4 linked regions of the Arabidopsis thaliana genome follow. The protein of the gene in region 4 interacts with the protein of the main gene of each other region in a pairwise test. Each region holds a gene or a part of one and is shown on either strand. Other genes may lie near its edges. The genes, in order: SPK1, BRK1, DIS1 and WAVE2.

Region 1 (4,555 bases), on a different chromosome or scaffold from region 4:
GACATTAGCACATTAGGAGATTCCGTATGTCCAACTGATCAAGACAGTTTAAAGAGATTTTAGATATGTATTTCCTCCAGATAAAAGCAGCAATATACAGTAAGATGTTATATCAATAAAAAGCATTCCAGTTATTTGTCTGATGACGTTACCAAACACGATTCAGATCTGAATTTTTTTGTGTGAGTAAAAGAAGAGAGAGCTCGGAAATCTTGTTTTCTTGTGATGTATTTAGTAATATACTTATAACTAACTACACTTCAGAAGGGAAAACAGAAATGAAGAACTTCTATTCCTCAAAACTTATGAATTAAACACCATGACCTAATTGTCAAATGCTACCAAAATTGATTCATTCAAATAGAAAACAAAAAAAAACTGTTATCAATTAAATACAGAAGTATTTTGTCAATCGACTGTGCATGCAACTCTACTTGCTTAGATACATATCCAGTTCAGGAAAACCCAACCAAAGTGTACCTAGCAAGTAGGATTTTCAAATTGAACAAAATCTATGAAAAATGTTCCACACCATGTGAAGTTCAAAGCACTGTAAATACAATCATAAAGAACATGGTAAAAACTGTGGGATTTGATAAGAAACATCCTACCTGAATGGACTCTTCAGAGTAGCTCTCTTTAACTTTATTTAAATTAGATATTTCAACTACGACAGAACTTCCACCTGAATAACCTTGCTTTCCATCTGATGTGATCTTTGCAATTGGTTCATAAACACCATCATGGGAACTTGACGCAGTCATACTAGGAGCAAGAGGACTGCTAGGGGAAGCAGATTCACCAGTGTTTGTGGTGAGATTATTATCAAAAAGCGGAACAACTGCCCAAGCAAAAGACTCTCGGTAAGGCATAATGCGAGACCAGACCTGCAACTTTTGCTTTTCCCTCTCAGTTAAGTGCACCTGATTCACATAAATAGGGTAATTACTAATTGTTATATCAAGATCCAGCTATCACCATGACTACTCTAAAATATATATCAAAACAAAGAGTAAAGACAGATGATATATGCCATTATAAGTCACAGGCTATCTCCAAGTTACTCCAAATAAATGTTGAAAGACACAATCTCTAAGACCAAGGCATTCACATGAGCAAGAGACTCTAGAGACAGTAAGGGAAAATTCAGGATTTTGGAAATTACAGGCTCTTTACGGGAATAGACAGATGATGTAACGCCTCCTTCCTCAGTTGCTGTTTTTTCTAATTGAATAAGCAGGCAAACTGATGCTGATGGGGCATCTAGATAAAATACTCCACGATTTTCAGATGAAAGTTTAGCCTGCAAGAAAATGTACAAGGGGCGGCAATTTCGCAAAAATGACGTGAGAAAAAACTGAAATCACCTTTTATATAATCATGAGAAGGGAAGAGGCAAAAAGAGGACAGTTGGCTCTAATCAGTTACTTACATCCTGCATTTCCGTCGGCTGAATCTGGAAATAAAAATCCTCAGAGAGTTTCTCCTTCCTCTCTTGATTGTACAATGCAATCGAGCCAAAAAATGGTTCTGCAGGGATGCAAGAGAAATAAAGAAGGAACTTAAAGAAGTTGAAATAACTAAAATTACAGAAAATAGACAGCAGTTAGTCAGAATCCTCACCAACTAAGCCAGACTGAAAAGCTAGAGACAAAACTCTGACAGAGATCTTCAATCCACTGTGAAGATAATAAAGAGGAACAGAAGTACAAATCAGACAAAGATAATAAGATCAGGTAAAGCATAGTGACATGCAAAAAAAAAAAAACCTGGAATAGCTAGCTGCAGGAGATTCAGGAGTTCTCTGACCAAAAATCATAGCTCTTTCATTTTCCCAGTCAAAAGCTGGTTCATAAGCAGGTAAAGGAGGTTGCCCAAAATGCTGAAAAAAAAAAAAAAAAGCAACACCTTCAAAGTAAGAACCAAAGGATGAGAAATATATAACAGAGCAATGAAGTGAGTAAAAGAAGACACCTTAGAGGATCCAGGATCAGAAAACGGCCTCCCGGAAATACTGGCAACATCCTCCTCAATAGTTGCACTCCTGGCACTAGCAAGACGAATCTCTGAAGAAGCAGAGAGTTAATTGATGTACAATAATTGACAAAAGCAAAAAAAATAAAAATAAACAATGCATCATAGTTACCAGTCTCAGTATCAGTATCAGGTCCTTCAAAAATCTGAGTCTGGAAAGAATCAGGTCGAATATTTTCATAGTGACCGTATTTGTTAACATCTTTAACCCATTCAGTGCCATAACATTGAACCAATTGATTCAAATGTGGCCATTGTTCCAGATTCTCATCAAGCTGAAACAAAAGAGAAGAAACACATTAACGAAAAGAGAGAGAAAACGCGAATAAAGGTTGAGGAGAGTTTAATTACCAAAGGATCGAGCTTAGGGAGAGCAAGAGGCTGACGAGGTAGCTTACGAAATCGAAGACCAAGATTGTTGTTCTCCATTGAGATAGATCTAATACAATGTGAGGTACTACTACGCCATTAGAGAGAATTGGGGATTTGTGAAAACCTAGAAATGGGAAAAGGACATTGTTGGAGTAGTAAGTAGATCTGAGTGGGGGAGCTAAAGGAGGAGAGGAGGATGAATCTTTGTCTTTACGCAGAGAGGAAGAGATCCGTGAGAGGAAGCAGTTGGGAGAAAAAGTGAAGATTACTCAAGAGGAAAGCAAAAGTCGAGCTGGAGCTGTAAGTCCAACAAGAGTCCAACTCTACTGTCCCTTTTTTCTTTTTAAATAACAAAAGAGTCAATCATTGGGACGACCAAAGACGATGATACCTCACCTGAACCAACTTAAAGAATTGGAGTAAGTAGTAACCATTTTCACCAAAAGTCATTCCAATTCTCATTATACCAAACAAAATGGAATTAGAAAGTATACGGCTAAAGAATTTAGTTGTCACACTTTATTGAAATTAGGATTGTTGATTTGTTTCTACGGATTCATGTTGAGATAAACCGTAAACGAGTTCATAGTTACCTTTGGTATCTATGAATCGGTGAATCCCAATCTTTAGCCATTGTTTCAGAGTTGTTGCCATTATAGTCTACCATTGCGGCCTTTTTATATATCATTCATGTTAGCATTAGGGTTATAATTTCTAAAAATTGATCACCTCTTTAACTTGTGCCTAGAATGTTAGGCAGACCCAGCCAAAAAATTAAGTGGGTGAAAAAACGTTACACTGGTTAACATAATTATTGGGCTTCGTGGCTTCTCTCTCGTTGACGGAGAACTTAACGGTGTGTGATTCCAAGTCGGATTAGAACCTCCGTTATATATCAATGGGAGTTTTGGCCGCTTGTTGCTGTTGAGTTGTGTTGTCTTTGATTGAAACGACGGCGTATACGTCCATTTTGTCCGTGACATATTCGATATGGTTGACGTCACTAGCTGATACAATTTTGAGCTCAAGAGTTGGGTTCTCCACGGCTCTTTGCAACTGTGATGAAGATATTTTCGAGAGATCTAGTATTGTTTGTTCTAATCTTGGGAAAATGTCCAAGTATACAATGATCTATGAGATTCAAGTTAACCAGTTTCTCATTCACATGAATCTTTCCTTTCTCATGTTAAAACTATCTCGCCATTTGGGTTCCCTGTAAAATATGGTTGTCCGGATTTTACTCCAACTAACAAATTTAGATAGAAAGAAAGAAGAAGCAACAAAATAAAACTAATGCCGAGTAAAAGAATCAATTTGCACACTCCAACAGATAAGATAAACCGAACAAGTTTGCGGATACACAAACATGTGAGGTAATGCTGCTTTCAGAACGTATTTATTAAAAATAAAGAGGAGGGTTGTAATAGAGTAATGGAGAAGAAGATAAGAATCAAGTATGAATGATCTTGTAAAGGGTTTTGGTCTTTCTTCACATCCCTGATCATCCATCCAGCTCACTAGGAGTGTCTGTCACTATAGTGTGAAATACAAAATTTGGAAACGTCTTTGTTACGTCTCTACACAAAACACAACATACAAAAACATGTTAGTCCCGCACGAAGAAGATAATAAGGCAAATAACATGGCTAGCTTACTTGAGATGTTGAAGGCTCATGTTCTGTAACAGAGAGGGGTGGCGCAACACAAGACTCCTCCACTCTTCCTTATCAATCTTCCCGTCCAGTTTAGTATCAGCTTCTTCAAATGTCTACACACACCAATCAGTTTTTACATCTCTTGTCAAAGATTAAATATGAGAATCCTAGTTAGTGTCAATGGAGGAGATCAACCAAACCCACCTTGTCTATGATGCTCTCAATCACATGATCAGAAAGGTTCATGCCAGATTCAGCTAGAGTCCGCACAACCATTTGCTTCACCTCCTGTCTCTTTATATAACCTTGCTGATTCAGATCATACAGCTTGAAAGAGACTGCAGAGACAAAAGATGAGCTTGATCCAAGGTTTGGATATGACAAAAAAAAAGAAGGTCAAGTCTCTCTCGACCACTTACACTCAATCTTATCCTCAAATTTAGCATTAGGGTGAAAGACCGAAAGTGAACGAGCAAAGGCTTCAAAATCTAGAA
Region 2 (3,491 bases), on a different chromosome or scaffold from region 4:
TTGCAGCTAACAAATCCTTTAAATCAAATTAATCTCCTAGTTGAAACTAGACAAATCTCAATAATTAATTATTGAGATCGTACGTAGTTACAAAAGTGTGTTGTGGTAATGGTCTTGCATACAGGCTTATGGAACGTCGAACACAAATGGATTGGGACATCATGAGCTAGTAGATGCAGTTTATGAATCCCATGCACAGGTTAGGCTGCAGCTAAGCCAGCCTGAGCAGTCCCATTATAAGACATCTTCAAACAGCTAAGATCATATAAGAGATATATAACAAATTGTTCGTTCTTGATTATCTCAAAACCCTTTCAAATATATATACGTGCATATTATATATGAAGACTCGTTTGACTATGTCAATATATATGTTTTCATGCAGGAGTAAGTGTGAGTGTAATCATGTCGGAGAGCAAACCAAAGGTTTGATTTGTACGATATATACTTATATATGGTCTCAAGTGAAAGCAATGGAACAGCTTCTCGATTATATTCTTTTTAGCTTTCACATTTGGTTTTAAGTACATAATTAAGACATACATGAACTACATATATAATATATATTTTAACTAAAAAAATTGAGTGTGATATAGGTTGGTTTAGTATATAAGCTATACTTTACCTAAAGTAAAATCAGAGCTCACTTTTGTGTGTGTGTGTTTGTTTTTGTTAGTCATTGAGATTTTTAATAAAGGGAGATTCATTTGAGATGATTGCTTCTATAGTTTAGAGAAAATTTGCAAAACAAAAAGAGTATACTATATATTGTCGTTTCAGGTAAAACGATGCAAAAAGTCAGCCTAGAAATTAACGAAGTTACATGACCATGACCAACATATGAAAACTGCATTGTTTAACATATCTCTGAAAAGATTATGTTTTTGGTCGTATTAAAATAACAAAAACGAAGTAAAAAAAATCTCAGATGTGAAATCAAACTAAGAGGAGCTAGGAGAAGAAAAATAAACCCTAATTTCCTTGGGATGTAAATTTTCACCGGTCGTACAATATAGGATTTTATGTGATTCAAAATTTTAGTCCAAAAGTAGAGGGTTATAAGTTTCTCGGTTTGAATAAATTAATTTAGTGATTTTGATTTAGCGCTTAAATTTGATTGTAAACACAGTTCACTCTATTATATACTATTGTCCAATATTTTGCATACTGTAATCCACTTTTAACCTACAAAAATATTGATATAATTAGTCCGGTTTACTGCTAATTGAACAACCATTCAAAATTTGATTTGTTGTATAGACAATGAGTTATGCCTCATCAGAAATAATCACAACTTAAAATTATTCTAGTATGATGAAATATGTGTTCTGTTTTGTAAATATTATAGATACAACCTATAAATAGTTATACAAGTTACAACCAATGAGCATACCGAATAATTCACTTGACTTTAAAACAAACGTATCTTGAATTCAAAGATTAAAGATTGGTTGTAATAGTATATATGCACGAAGAACCAAGAATTGCTCAATTTTTAATTGATAGTGACATTTGAATAGAACGAAAAAGATTGAACACTAACTAAGCAATCTACCAAAATATTAAACCAAACCACATAATATCAAATATCTTAAATTATAAAATAGCCCCTATATTTCCTCTTTATCTCATAAAACACCCGTTTCTTCTTCTAATCTTAACTTCTTCTTCATCAATCACACATCATCTAAAAGAAAAACAACCTACGATAAAATTCAGAAACTTTTTCTCTGAGACACCAAAAAAGGAAGGTGACCCTCCTTCTCTAATCGATTGCTTAATCATTTCTGCCGTTGGATTGAATCGAAAAAGGGCGAATTATTTAAAAAGCTTCAGAATTTGAAATCGAAATCTGTGAGTACTGTTGTGTTTGTGGAAGAGAGAGTTTTGGGGTTTAATAATGGCGAAAGCTGGAGGGATCACGAACGCAGTAAACGTAGGAATCGCTGTTCAAGCAGATTGGGAGAATCGAGAATTTATCTCACATATCTCTCTTAATGTTCGTCGTCTCTTCGAATTCCTTGTTCAATTTGGTAAACCTCACTCTCTCACTTATTTCTCTGTGTTGGGTTTTGAATTCAATTGACTAATTTTGGAGTTTTCTCGATTTCGTATTTGCTAAATTTAGAAACTTTGTTTTAGAGTTTTTGTCAAAGTAAGGTTTTTGATGATTGGGAGATTTGATTTTGGTGGTTGGTTAGTGAAAAATTTCACCTTTTTAATTGTTGAGATGATCAGATTTCATTTGCATTTGTATGGTCTTAGATCCATGTGCTAAGAGAGATCTTTGTAATGATCTCTTTGATCTTCTCAGCTTCAATTCTAGCTGGTTTTAGACAATGTTGTGTGTGATGAAACTTTCTTTTATGAGCTAATTTGATTATCGAAGTCATTGATGTCTGTGAGTTTGTAATTTCTCTGTGTGTTTCAGAATCAACCACAAAGAGCAAGTTGGCTTCTTTGAATGAGAAGTTGGATCTGTTGGAACGTCGCTTGGAAATGCTGGAGGTGCAAGTAAGTACCGCGACAGCAAATCCTTCTCTGTTTGCGACGTGAAACACCGTAGACGATATCGAAATCGAAACCGAGCCTGATCCTTTGGCTTTAACAGAAGAAGTCTGTTGTTGAATGTGTACCATTGAATGATTCTTTCTTTCTTCACATAGCTGTGGTAGTAAGTAAACTAGTAGCTTAAAATATGAATCTATTCATAAATATGTGTATCTTTTTTCTGTCCATTAAGATCTCTTTTGAATGACAAGTCATTTCGTTGAACTCTTGAAGTTTTTGCTTTCTTCTGCTGTTGATTTATAAACTTTGCAGAGGTACCCTTTTCATCTTCTATGCATCGGATTTGTATATTCGTCTTTTCTCTTAAAGTGGAACACATGTAAAACGCTCTTGTTGCCCATTTTTTCTTTTTCATCAATGGAGGAAGAAAAAACCGAAAAAGCTCACATCTCTTTTCCTCCATTAGATTCTGTCTGCATTTGTGACTCACATTGTTTTTTTGAGTTCCACTCGGATTCATCGAGACCGACCTAATCGTCTCCACCCGTACGTACTATGAGATCACCCCACGGATGCCTACGATATCCAGGGGTCGCGGACCAACCATAGAACCAAGCCATTGTTGAAAATATTCTGTTTTACGTACCTAAACCACAAAGTTCTGTAGACTATGGATGATTGACCATTTTTAAAAAAATATTCTGAACTCAGTTTTTGTTTTGTCTGAATTGAGATTTGCTGTGTTGACCAAGCTTCCAAGCTTGAAGCTGCAAACAAGAGTGAGAACTGAGAAGTAAACAATGGTACTCTTATTGTCTGTTTTTCTTCCAAGAAGTTAGTTCAGAAGGAAGTAATTCTTCATTGCAACTTAAAACAGCTTTAGACATGAGTTTCCCAAGCCAAGCATGATAGAGTAGTCCCCTTGATCCGAGCCCTGAAAATACCCAGAAGTTGCAAAACTGACCAGCACCTATGAGCTG
Region 3 (5,622 bases), 5.7 Mb from region 4:
ATCCGACAAACTCCGGAATTGTTTGAACGCCCAGAAACAGAGCTTTAGCGAAAGAGTTTTTGATGAGATCGGAGGAAGAGAGTCGTATTCGTCGAGACTCGGGATGTTCTCTTTCTTATCCGATAGAAGAAGAAAAAATGAAAGAAGAGCTTCACCGTGATGTCAACAGTTTGTCTTAACAAACTTTTTTCTTTTACATGTTTTTTTAGTGCGTTTATACAACAAGCTATAAATGTAATAATGTATTTTGTAGAACATATGAAAGATATATATATATATTTTTTTTTCCCATGAAAGTTTTTTCCTTTATTATTAACAACAGAATATCTTACATTACTCCAAAACCAAAGAGTAATGAAAGATATTTGTTTTGAGTAATTTAAGAAAATGATTTTGTGTATTTTACCCAAAAGAAGGTTTATCTATTCATGTCTAATTTTAAATATTATTAACTAATTTATAAAAAATAAAACACATCATAAAGTAGACAAAACTTAATTATCATGTGTTTCATCTAGAACTTAAGCTCTTGAGTGGAATAAAAGCTTATAAAAAATGATAACTTGACAATTAGACGATTGATAATCCGGAACTTTTCTGTGGAATTTAATGCTTGAGTTAACAGAAAATAATATGAAAAAAAAATCAAACTTCTACATACTTTTTTTCTTTAATTTGTCTGAATAATAATATGACTTCTACATCAAGCCTAGCTTACACTGTGTGTACTCAAGAACCCTAAAGTCAGTAATAGAAATGGAGTAAAGCAGACAAACATTCACAGAATCTGCTGGTGAATTATTTATGAAGCAGCTTCAATACATTCCCTTGAACACCGGATTCGTGCGGCATATGCTTGCTCCATATTCCTCATACTCCTCTTTCGTTCTGCAACTCTGCAACAACAAAAATACATCTTGTTTCAAAACACGATCAAGCCATGAGGTTTAGCTTCAAACTAGCGGATCTCTAAACTAGTTTGCATACCGCGAAAAACTCAGGAGTTGATGAAAGCACAGAGCCTCCAAACCAAACTGCAAACCTCTGGACAGGATGGCTCACGACATTAACCTCCACCGGTTGAGACTGTGGTTATAAATAAATATCACCTCAGATTAAGAAAACTGGTTATCACTTTTATTTTCCAGAATATCATACAATTTTCTTACCGTAATTTCACCACCAGTACGAGCGTTATTAGCAAGAACACGAGCATCAACAATCTTCTTGAGGTCCCTTTGTAACCTTCTTCCGAAATCTTTGAACATAGTTGAACCTCCGGACAACACTATATTCTGAAATGATTTCACAAATTCATCAGTATTGCGGATTGGAAATTATCTTAAAACTCTGACCAGTCTTTGGCGTTTCAAACCTTATATAAAGCTCTTCGTGTGTCAATTGGTGCAGACTGAATACATTTGTCTATCACAGCTGGTAAAGTAGTTGTGAAGTCATTGCTGTATATCTCTGGATTAAAGAACACCTGTAACACACAAAATCTCAACATTACTCATCGGTAATAGCAGAACAAAAACGCAAGAACAATAAAGGAAATTATGTTCCACTTTCCAGTTACTCTCTTGGTATAGAGATACAAAGGAGATTAGCTTCCTATGGGTCCAGTAGTGACAGCTGAATTCTAACTAGATAAGAATTAGTTCCAGACTTCCAGTTAACATAATGGACTAAGTAATTACCTAATTTGAGTTTCTGAGAGAGCATAGTTTTATATCAGTACCGTTCAGTAATCAGAACAGAGTGCTGAAAATATCTTATAATCGATAACAAATCATGAACAGCTCACTGACATACTAGAAACTCATGCACCAGTAAAGATATCCAGTCTCCGATTCTGGTTATCTTATCAACTTACAACTTTTTATAACAGATAGATGGTAACAAACCTCGGGTCCAAGGAATCGTTCATATCCCACGTCGCAAGTGTATGGTGCACCAGTCTTTGGCTTTACACCTTTCCATTGTTTAATATACTTTGCTGGTTCTTTGTCATGTTTATTAAACTCCTGCAACCATATGAATGTTCTTTATCAATATTCCTATATTCTTTTCAAGCGATTTCAGCATACAGGCCAGTAATAAATTTTCAGAAGAGTATATATTAATATTATCTGACTTGAATATTCACCACTAAGGATTACCTTTACGATGTCAGAACAAGTGTAGCAGTACATTTCCTTCACTTTACGGGCTACATCGAATGAATCTTCTGGTGGTATATTCTCACCTCTTTCCTACAGTAAACATTGAAACGAGAAGTTACATGAAGTTAATACATTAATCTAAACCAGTAAACACCCTCTCTAAGCATATGAGCACAACATCTAAAACAAATAAACAGGAAGCCTAGCTACCATACTCAAAGCTTGGATTTAACACATTTAACTTCTGTGCCTTTAAAATCTTAAAATGTCACAGAGAAAGAATGAAAACCAACTACAAAAGAAGACCAAGACTAATATTAAGATAATAAATTAGTGCATACCCGCATGAGTTGCTGGATAAAGAGGGTGACATCTTTGCCAGCAATTGGAATCGATTTGATACAGCTCCCGATGACATAACCTTCTGCAACAGGTACAACATGAGTTGCCCCATCTCCAACATCTACTACAACCCCTGTCATCTCACACTAAGAAGAATTGTAAGTCAAATTAAGAGGCGAGGCGAGCATAACGAGACAGAACAAAAAACAAGAGAACATGTTTAATATTTGCTAAATCCCACAAAGCTCGGAAATTGTCTAATGTTGGTGAGGTTACACTAACCTATTCTTGAGACTCAGTCCCTAAAACCAAAACTGAATAAAGTATAATTATGACTTGATTTAAGGATTCACACAGTCTACAAGCAAACTTAAACAACTAATAGCCTAAATACATATCATTTCATCCCAGCAAACAACTTAAATACATATCATTTCATCACAGCAAGTAGGCTAATACATAGCATTTCATCACAGCAAACAACGTAAATACTTGGAGAAAAGAAATGTGTAACATACCTTTGATGTTGTGTAGCCAGCAGCAAGTGCAAGAACTGAATTAACAGCAATGTAAAGCCCAGGAACATTAAAAGTCTCAAACAAAATTTCTCCAGTATATTCTCGACTTTCAGGAGGAGTAAGAGGACTTTCAGTAAGAAGAAAATAATGATCCTCAGGATCACATCTCAAATAGTTAAATATACACTGCTGCCAATATCTCTCCATAGCATCCCAATCCTCAACTTGACCATGCTCAATTGGATAATGAAGATTATGAGTACTACTAGACCGCGATTTCGCAAGAGCTTCATCTCCAATATAGAAATCGAGATCCGCAGCAACTCCAGCGTTGTGCTGAGTTTGCCAAGTTGCCTTAGAAGAACTCTTGGATTGATTCAAAAACGACTCGTTTACTGCAACTACTGTTGGTAAGATAAAACATGGCTCTACATTACCCGCAAATCCCATTTTAGTATACCTGCAATACACACACACACAAGAATGAATCTAATTGCAGCATTTCATCGAACACGTTAAGCGCATAAACAAATCAAACCTATCATTGAACGTACCCAGTTCCATTGTCGATGACAATAGCGGGTCGAGAAGTCGGATCCATTAGAGAAACTAAGCCGGCGATCTCTAAAGCAAAATCAGCTCACCAGAGGGTGTGAATGGAGATCCAAAACAGTATCCGATTAGAGATCGATTATCTCTACCGTTTAAACACTAGAGAACCCTAGAATTTTCCGATCGAACCTAAGCTTGCTTCTTTCTCGCGCCTTCCGTCAACGGAAGTTGAGTTTCCGACAAGCTACCACGTAATTTCTCGTAGGCTATGAGAAACAATGTAGGGAGAGAGACAATGAGAGAAAATTGATTTTCCCGGAAAATCAGAGATTCACGTGAGATTCAGCGAAACGGTCAGATCATAGAGAAAGTCGCCGTCGTCGACTGGTACTTTATCGTGTGAGATTTTTCCGATAAAAAACAAATGAAGTTATGTACAACTACTGTTTTAAATTTTGGCTTCGTCCTTATGCGCTGTGGTTAATTTGGTTTTCCAACCCGACTCAATAACCAAGTCTGATTTAAAAACCAAACAAATTTCAATAACATTGAATTGAACCATACTGGGCTGATTATCATCATTACAAATTTTGTTTGGATATATAATATACTGTAATCGTCTTTGTAAACAAACCAAATTAACTAGGGACTTTGATAATATAAAAGGTAATCATAACACAAATAATGTTCTGATATATGATATATGATATATGCCTACTGTTAATTGGATTAACTCAATATTAAGATGTGTGTAGTGAAGACAGAAAAACAAACTTATGATAAGGACGCTTGAACCACCGAACAAAACCCATTAAAACTTGAGATTGAAGTCTTGTTACTACTTTACTACACAGTAGTTATCATGAACTATGTTCACACGGTCTCGAAAAATGGAATCATATCAGTCTCAGCCTAATCCTATTGAGTAGATAAGCTTAAATCATCATGCATGTCTCACTCATACCGGTCCGTTTAAATAACAAAATGAAAATGTAGCCCAATGTTTTAGCATTTAAGTGTAAAGTATGACCTGTTTTCAAGGTAATAAAATTTCAAAAGACCCAAACAAAATAATTTTTAGTATAAATATGCCCAAATATATAAATTTTTTTTTTTAACATGAATATAAGGTCCTGAATTTTTATTTTGCCCTAGAGCTTTAAAAATTGTTGGGCTAGGTTAGTCTCCCTTGCAACAGATTTCTTTTTCATATATATTTTTTATAGTCAATGTTAGGTGGTATGTGTAAAACTACAATGCGAATGAATATATATTTTTTTAAATGGCTTGATTGATCTCATTCATCTAACGAATTACTACATTCGTCCAACAAATTACTAAATTCGTTAACGCAGATATGTGATACTCAATTCACTAGTTTTTTCAATTTAATATTCGCCGTTTACGAATTTGTTGGCTATCGTTTTTAGATCAGTCACATTGCTGTAAGCATCTCTTGCCGACATGTTTTCCAGACGACTCATTGTTGATCTACCAACGTTCTTCAAAGCTCTAAAGAATGCACTATTTTTTTCACTTTAGCAAAAAATAAAAATAAAATATAAAGATGTAACCGTAAAGAAAAAATATTACAAAGCGCATTTTGTACAAATTTTATTGATAAAGGACGATCTAAATATATTTTTAAGATTCTACAAGTTTTTTTACTTATAAATACTCATCAATGTATTAGCAGTATTATATTCGAACTATCAAAACAAATATTTGTTTATTGTTTTAGTTTTTTTTTTTAAACAATGATTTTTTTTCATGATCATGTCAAGTTTATTGATTAAAGAGATTTGGGGGTAAATGAGGTGTAATCATAATGAAATATACAATACTCATGTTTTAATATTCAATATGGTTAAGATTGTTTAATTCAGATAAATTGAACTGTATCATCAAGAACAAAATGAATTTTTTAAAATTCAATTTGAAGGAAAAATCAAATACCACCTAACCGATTGCATTGAAAAGAGAAAAAAAACTATATTTGATATAAAAAACCGTTGACAAAACAACCATATTCGAAGCAAAATCAA
Region 4 (7,214 bases):
GGTTGAATTAATATTTATGCTATGGAAGAAATCAAGAATGCAATTAAAGATGATATAACATCAAGAATCCAAATACTTTTTTTTTTCATGAGAAGAATCGATTACACTGACTTGTGTTTGGATTTGATGCAACAAGTCTCCAGTTTTGGTCTCCTTTTCATTGGCATTTTGTTTATCCTCCCTGACAATATTCTTAAGATGGGTCTATGAGAACATATGCTTCTCATTCGTAACTTGAAATATATCGAATAACCGTAAACGTGAATCATTACTTTGTTTTGTCGTTCAATGTTGCTATTGCCGACTTGCTTTGATGGTAATATCAAGTCAAATGTTGATCTTGTTTATAAAATTTAGTGGTACTACAAAAAAAAAAAACTATGACCATGGATTCTTCTTAGTTGCTCTAGGATAAAAGTCCATGACTAATTTAAGTTTAGCTCTTTATGGTCATGAATTTTTTTTGTAGCAAGCTCGTGGCTAAAATCCCAAGTTCTAGAAAGTTTTCCTTAAGATGAATGGGCATTATAGATTTTACTTTCATTTTTATTTCTTGCACTACTTTATTTTCTTGAAGATACAGATCACACTCGACAAAATTTACTATCACCTACACAAATCCACACATTAGATATGATACAAAATACAAAAAATTCTTGCAGGACTAGCTTGAACCCCTTTTCTCCATTTATGTCGTTCAGAGAGTAGATTACAAAGATGAAATGGAATCTGATAAAGGGCTTTTACGTATCACTCCATGTATCGCTTTCATCTCCATCTTTGCTAGCTACAGCCTGAAAAGAAGAAAAGAGTGAGTGATAGATAATGTTGTGTTGGATTTAAGACAAAAAGTACTTAGATTCTGAAATAAAGATTAGATTTGCTTTGGATATATATAGATGCAGAAGTTAGAGGATGAACCTGGCGTATTGAGTTTGCTTTCTCCAAAATCGCGCTGATCTTAGTGTTTATGATAGGGTCAGTTGTTGCAGTAGCCGATGATGTCGTTGTCATGACCACAGGCCTAAGGTTGAATTGCTTTGATTTGAAAGAAACCAAGAATGTAGCAAAAGATGATATAACAAATCAAGCATCAGAATATAACTTTCTTTCACAAAAAGGAACTATTTGCACTCACTTGTGTTCGGATTTGTTGCAAGAAGTCTCCAGTTTCAGTCTCCTTTGCGTTGGCACTTTGTTTCTCCTCCCTGACATTATTCTTCAGATGGGCCTATGAGAACATATGCTTGTTAAGATTCGTAATTTGAACTATATTGAAAACGATCATCTGGAATATATGGAACTGACCCACACTGTAGAAAAGTAGGAAGAAAGAGTCAAAATCTTCTCCATACCTTAATTTCTGGTTTAGGAGCAGAAGTCACCATGCTAGGCAGTTCGTTCTTAGCTGTAGGCAATGAAATATGCTTCTCAAACGCAAACCTGAGAGCTTCTTGTAGTTGTAGGGACTGTGTTTTGTCTTCCATTTTCTCTGAAGGTGTCTTTGAAACCATCCATTGCATGGGTGGAAATGGCGGTGGTAAGGGCTCAGCAGGATTTTGGAGATATGAGAGGTTTACGGCGACGCAAGAACTTTCTGATTTGATCCCTAGAGGGGAAGCTTCAGCATTGTTATCAACATGCCTACTTTCGTGGAAAGAATCATATAGTTCTTGCTCTTTTCTTCCATGGCTGTCACTGGATTCTTCCCACGGCTCAGAATTTGACAAGGAGTGATTATCGCTAAGATAATCGGTATCTGACATGTAAGGAGATGATCTACAAAAAGTGTCGTCGTCAGAATAAGAATCAGGAAGGGAAGTTCCAGTCTCTGGAAGCAACTGGAAGGAGGAAAAGGTATTGTAAGTGTTGTCTCCATCTGAAAATTTAAGCTTCAGTCTCGAAGCCTGAAGAGTGTCAGCGGGATTGAGAGATATTTTCATGTGTTGAAGAGGCGGAGACGAAGTGATCCAATCAATAGGAGCTTCGTCTCTGAAGGGGTCCATAAAGGTTTTCTCATTAATATCTTGGTCACAAAACCTCCTCCTCTCTGTAGTCACTTCATCGTTCTCTGGAATCGTTGCTGGTACAGTCTTTCTATCATGTGCAAATGAATCCTTTCTGCGGAAACCACTAGTAAGAAACTTGTGGCTGAGTCCAAAAACTCCAGAAGAAGTCTCATGGGACTCTCTTTGGTCTACAATACCCATGACTATGCCATTTGAACTACCTGGATTTTGGGTTCCTGGCGTTGCTAAGCTTGAATTATTCAGAACATGTCTATGTGAAGCATTTTCAACTAGATCATCTGCTTTATCTTTTTCAGCTTCTGCAAAACCAACTGTCCTTTCCTCGGTCTTGCAATCTGGACTTAAAGAACTTGGCATTGCCAAGACTGGAGGTTTCGATGGTTTCAGTCCCAATAGACCACCATTAGTCCATATTTTAAAGGCTTCGAGATCCCCAGAAGATTCAGCTTCTGTTTCTTGATTTTCCTGTAGGCCATGATGAATCAAGGGGTTTGATGAATCAACTAAGCTGTTCTCGAGACCTGGCACAAATGTAAATGTGATGGTATCTTTTCCACCAGAATCATTACGCATATCCTTGTTTGCACAAAGATCATTTTTTTGTAAGCGGTTGATATCTGAACCCGCCTGTAGATTTTGTTGATGCATTTCAACAGATACATTTTCTGACGATGCATTCTCTTCATTTTTAAAACTGTTGGCCATAAGCCCATCCATTGATCTGCAAGAATCTTCGACACTGTAGGAATTCTGCTCTGTTTCTTGCTCACACACTGACTTTTCCAACCTCTCATCTGCAACACCACAGGAACTGCTCACTTGACTAGTTTGAAGCCCTTGATTGTTTTCAGATTCTGATTCGATAGTATTAAGCGCATCAACAAAACACTCCCCTTCGCTTTCAGTCTCTTGTTCACTATCCCTCGGTTCTCCCACAATCTCCCGACCATTTTTTATCTCTCTTACCTCATCAATCCCAGCACGTTTTCGTAGTCCTGATTCTGATTTATCATTTTCATTGTCCTTAGAATGGAAATCAACTCCACCTATCCCTTCCCCATAGCTTGGTTTCTCATCTAGAGTATCTACAACAGAGTTCGCCTCCACCATTTCAGAAGCTTCATCTGTCTGCAGACCAAGAGATTCCACTATCTCTGCTTTCTCATCCCAACTAACGCAAGAAGAGCCACGAGCAGCTTGCCCTTGAGAAGGACTAAACTGGAAATTATCATGAGCATCTTCGGTTTCACATTCAGAAAGGACTGAAGCAATAGTGCAAGAGCCTGGTGTCAAGCTGGATGAAACGAACACCCCTTTCGGTCTTTCTCCAGTCTTCAGTGAAGAAGTTGCAGTTGAAAGGCATTCATTGTAGCCTGAACCACTTCTGGACTCAAAAGAGCGAGAATGATGATCTTGAAAATCATATCTTTTTTCCATGTCACTGGTTGAGGTGGTTTTGGTAGAAGAGGTTTGTCCACTGAAGCTAAATGAAGCAAATGTCTTCCTGGAGTGAACTATGTCTGAGTTAATTATTCTTTAGGTGCACGGAAACTTAAATATGCCAACAATATCTATAATTTACCTGGCATTCTGGTTAGCCAAGGAGGCCAAACGTGACATATCTCGACTCCTTGACGAAGTTTTTTTCTTCTGTCCATGCCAGAAAACAGATATATATGTGTCAAGTAAAAGAGAATTCTACAGAAAATGGTTTACCAATTTAATCTGAGAACCACACCTTCATTTTACAATGCTTTTTATCTTTTTGGAACTTCTTGTTTCCTTGACTCAGGTTGCTTGATGCTCTTCTGAAATAAGTAGGATCTGAGTATCGCTTCAAGCAAGATCCAGGACCATTTATATCAAATCTGAGAAAATAAAGCAAAGAATCAGTATAACATGATGGATTATAGTACATAGTACATACATATCAGATATAAATATTTTAGCTTGAGGCATACTTATCAAGCAAGTGTAACCGTGGAGGACCCCTGCATTCTTCATAGGGATCCATAATAATGTGAGGCAAGTCGTCATAAATTAAGTGATTTTGCGTAATTGGGATACGAGGATGCCACTCCAGACCTGAACCCCATTAAACTCCTTCAGTTCACAAGATATAAAGTAAGAAAAATACAAGCATGACCACTTTCTCACCACCCATTACTTCCACGGTTTCAATACAATAAATAAAAGTTTGCCAAGGGGAACCAAACAACTAATACTATCAATTCAATTTTAAGTTAATCTATTTTAAGGTTTTGCAGAAGATACAATGATTTAGTTTCTCAATCATTCCAGATTCTAAACTAGCCTCGTCAGAGAAAGTTTTAGTTTTAGGGTAAGTGAAAAAGCATGTGAAGGCCTACAATGAACTAAGGATGTGACATAATTTATTAAAAGAATTAATGTGAAACCTAACAAGAATCAGACACCTTGGGTCAAGACAATAAGAAGATTGACAAGAGGGAAGAAGACAAAACAAACCTCCTGTGTATGCAAAATGTATATGAGTTGTTTGTGCAAGCATCGCCTTTTCTAGTGGAGGCACTGTAGCTTCTATATGCTGCAATCTAATCTTTAACTGATTGCTTCTTGAAGCTGTAGCCATAACTTCCTCCTGTATCCCATGAAATATCTCTGCTGCAAACCTTAATCAAGAGAAAAAGCAATCGATAAGAAAGTTTCTTCCTTTGTGCTAAAATGACCCTTATCAACCAGAGATCACTCCAAACCCAAACTAAGCTTGATATCAGAGCCGACATAAAGAGTCACCACATAAGGAGTTGCTAAGAAACATAAACTAAGCTCATGAAACAAAACTAAACACAGCAAAAATGGAGAATGATTGATAGAAACATCACAACAATCATAGAATCATAAATGAATAAAGCTTCTTCCTTTTTGCTAAAGCTTAACTCAAAAACTTCAAAGGATCATGCAATCAAAATGGGTTCCCAAATTTGTAGCTACAAACACCAATTAGATTACCTTAAACAAGTAAAGGCAATTACTTTCACACAAAGTAATGATTCTCATCTTTAACTTCACCACTAGCTCAAAGAATCATTCAACAGTAGAGATACCCAAAAGAGACGCAACATTAGCTCGAATTGAATACTTACTCAGCGAGATCACCAAGCTGACGCAAGACCCCAACAAGTCCAGTAACTGCAACACCATTGAGAATTGCTTTAGGGTCTTCACGATCGACATTTCTATACACCTCGCTTTGGTTCATACCGTATACATTCCGTGGCATTTTTTCTCTTAAAAGGTACAAAACTGTCACACATTGAGATACAAAAAGTTTTGTGGCTAAAGCATTAAGAGAGCTGGGAAAAGGATTAGGAGAAAGAATCAAAAGGTTTTTTTTTGAAGAAATTGAGAAAATGGGTTTTGATGAAAACGAGAAAAAGGTTAATGATTGTTGATGGGTTTCTGGTGAGTGAGATTGATGAGGCAGCTTAACTGCTCAAAAACAGAGAGGGAAATTTTGGAGGCAGAGAGGGAAAGAGACTGTGAGAGAGAGAGACATTGACATTGCCAATATCGCAAGCCATTCCTTTCCAATTTCATTTACCAGTGGGGGGTTTACAGAAAAGTAGAAAGACCAAATTACCCTTGTATTTTGTGTGTTATTACGTGATGGGGTTTTGAGAAAAGAAGGATTTTATTTTTATTTTTGGTTCAAAGAAAGGTTATTGGTTCGCACGATATGAACATTAAATTCTAATTTTGATTACAGAATAAATGTTCGATTTTGTAATTTAAAAATGAAGTGGTTTTCGGAAAAAAAGTGAGAGAATGTCAATGTCAAATAAATGTTTCGTCAAGTTTTGTAGTTATTTGAGTAAGGATTTGTTTGTTTGTCAATAAATAAAATTGTTGGGTTGGTTACATGTTGAAACAAAGTCCAACGAGTGAGATGGACATATTACAAATAGTACGTTCTAGTATGATACAATAAATGTAGACAATTTTTAATTGTAATCGTGGAATTCCACATTTATAATTCTTGGAACTAGGTAAATTAGTTAAGCATATCCGATGCAAAGTGGTTTCTCCAATGCATTCAAGACTCCTAGTTTTCTATACAAGAGTTAAAATCACTTGCTCTTTATGTTTACATCCACCAGAATGTTTATGATTGGGAGAACAACCCCAACAATTGAAGAAGAAGAAGAGGCAGGGATATTATGTCTCAAGAATCTCACTACAAAAAAGGTTAGTTGTATCAATTAACTTGCAACAAAAATTTAAAAAATACTAATTTGAATTACTTATTTACAATCGATACAAAAATTATAATTTAACATCAATTGCAATAACTGATGTCGTATTAGTTTGTGTGACATCAGTTCATTAAAATTAATGCAAATCTAGGTCTATTTGCCTCACTTTCACAATATTAATACAAATATGTGAATTTTAATCATTTAGAAAGTGATACAAAATTTAAATCAATAATAACCGATGCTAATTACAGATTTAGCATCAGTTGCACTAACTGATATAATTGTTTATTCAATTTGTTTACATACCACATATCTCCCACAGAAGGAAAAAAAAACCTCCATAATTTTTTTATATATGTAAAGTTACATAATTCTGGTTTTAGATGGTGTCCAAAAAGTGTAAAGTTACTATCCCAACTAAATTTAAGTGTTCGCTTAATATTAATTAATAAAGATATTTGTTTCATAAAAACTAATTTAGTATTATTTTATAAGTTATTATAATTAATATAAACACTTAAAATTATTTATTATAAATGTTGCAAATATTAACGTTATTTTGATAAATTGATACAAATAATAAATCACTTATATTCAATGATGCAAAATTAATATCATTTTTTTGCAACTGATGCATATTAACATCGATTAAAATAATCACTACAAACAAACATGTTATACGGTAATGTTTCGACAGTTTAAGAGTTACTATATATGGAGGAGTGAACAAGGCAAACAACCACCAAAAACCAAAAAAAAAAGAGATAGCTACTAATATAGATCTTGGAGCATGCCAAATTTTACAAGAAAAAGACCCAGAAGATTATACTTTGGGGAGAGACCAATTTGGGTTAAAAACAAGAGGAAATCAAGAAGCAGTAATGTCATTAAGCATATAGAACACGGAAAATCATCTTCCAAGTGGTTTTGTTCAAGTTGACAAGAG

What was found.
Region 1: the proteins of WAVE2 (region 4) and SPK1 interact in a two-hybrid assay, tested with the Arabidopsis thaliana proteins (one study listed by BioGRID).
Region 2: the proteins of WAVE2 (region 4) and BRK1 interact in binary tests that used the Arabidopsis thaliana proteins (3 or more experiments, as listed by UniProt).
Region 3: the proteins of WAVE2 (region 4) and DIS1 interact in a two-hybrid assay, tested with the Arabidopsis thaliana proteins (one study listed by BioGRID).

The regions. Positions count from the first base shown.
Region 1 is NC_003075.7:9,238,598-9,243,152, forward strand, and holds the start of SPK1 (guanyl-nucleotide exchange factors;GTPase binding;GTP binding protein), read right to left. Parts: upstream 3,033-4,555; 5' UTR 3,000-3,032; intron 2,803-2,999; 5' UTR 2,464-2,802; coding exon 2,386-2,463; intron 2,310-2,385; coding exon 2,147-2,309; intron 2,067-2,146; coding exon 1,975-2,066; intron 1,883-1,974; coding exon 1,770-1,882; intron 1,680-1,769; coding exon 1,624-1,679; intron 1,531-1,623; coding exon 1,433-1,530; intron 1,304-1,432; coding exon 1,166-1,303; intron 924-1,165; coding exon 612-923; intron 1-611. Other genes in the region: CBL6 (calcineurin B-like protein 6), read right to left, coding at 3,908-3,983, 4,062-4,174, 4,266-4,399, 4,481-4,555. UniProt on the Arabidopsis thaliana protein: Guanine nucleotide exchange factor (GEF) for Rho and Rac. GEF proteins activate small GTPases by exchanging bound GDP for free GTP. Controls actin polymerization via the two heteromeric complexes WAVE and actin-related protein (ARP) 2/3.
Region 2 is NC_003071.7:9,621,383-9,624,873, forward strand, and holds BRK1 (BRICK1), read left to right. Parts: upstream 1-1,614; 5' UTR 1,615-1,900; coding exon 1,901-2,033; intron 2,034-2,431; coding exon 2,432-2,556; 3' UTR 2,557-2,953; downstream 2,954-3,491. Other genes in the region: AGL17 (AGAMOUS-like 17), read left to right, coding at 125-259; AT2G22650 (FAD-dependent oxidoreductase family protein), read right to left, coding at 3,321-3,491. UniProt on the Arabidopsis thaliana protein: Involved in regulation of actin and microtubule organization. Part of a WAVE complex that activates the Arp2/3 complex.
Region 3 is NC_003070.9:4,493,398-4,499,019, reverse strand, and holds DIS1 (Actin-like ATPase superfamily protein), read right to left. Parts: upstream 4,097-5,622; 5' UTR 3,627-4,096; coding exon 3,580-3,626; intron 3,486-3,579; coding exon 3,026-3,485; intron 2,654-3,025; coding exon 2,507-2,653; intron 2,256-2,506; coding exon 2,163-2,255; intron 2,028-2,162; coding exon 1,908-2,027; intron 1,487-1,907; coding exon 1,376-1,486; intron 1,296-1,375; coding exon 1,170-1,295; intron 1,087-1,169; coding exon 988-1,086; intron 897-987; coding exon 816-896; 3' UTR 551-815; downstream 1-550.
Region 4 is NC_003070.9:10,189,609-10,196,822, forward strand, and holds WAVE2 (SCAR family protein), read right to left. Parts: upstream 5,606-7,214; 5' UTR 5,293-5,605; coding exon 5,156-5,292; intron 4,682-5,155; coding exon 4,518-4,681; intron 4,116-4,517; coding exon 3,992-4,115; intron 3,899-3,991; coding exon 3,769-3,898; intron 3,681-3,768; coding exon 3,613-3,680; intron 3,535-3,612; coding exon 1,356-3,534; intron 1,232-1,355; coding exon 1,139-1,231; coding exon of another isoform or gene 1,112-1,138; exon of another isoform or gene 1,039-1,111; coding exon 922-1,038; intron 795-921; coding exon 744-794; 3' UTR 529-743; downstream 1-528. UniProt on the Arabidopsis thaliana protein: Involved in regulation of actin and microtubule organization. Part of a WAVE complex that activates the Arp2/3 complex. Regulates trichome branch positioning and expansion.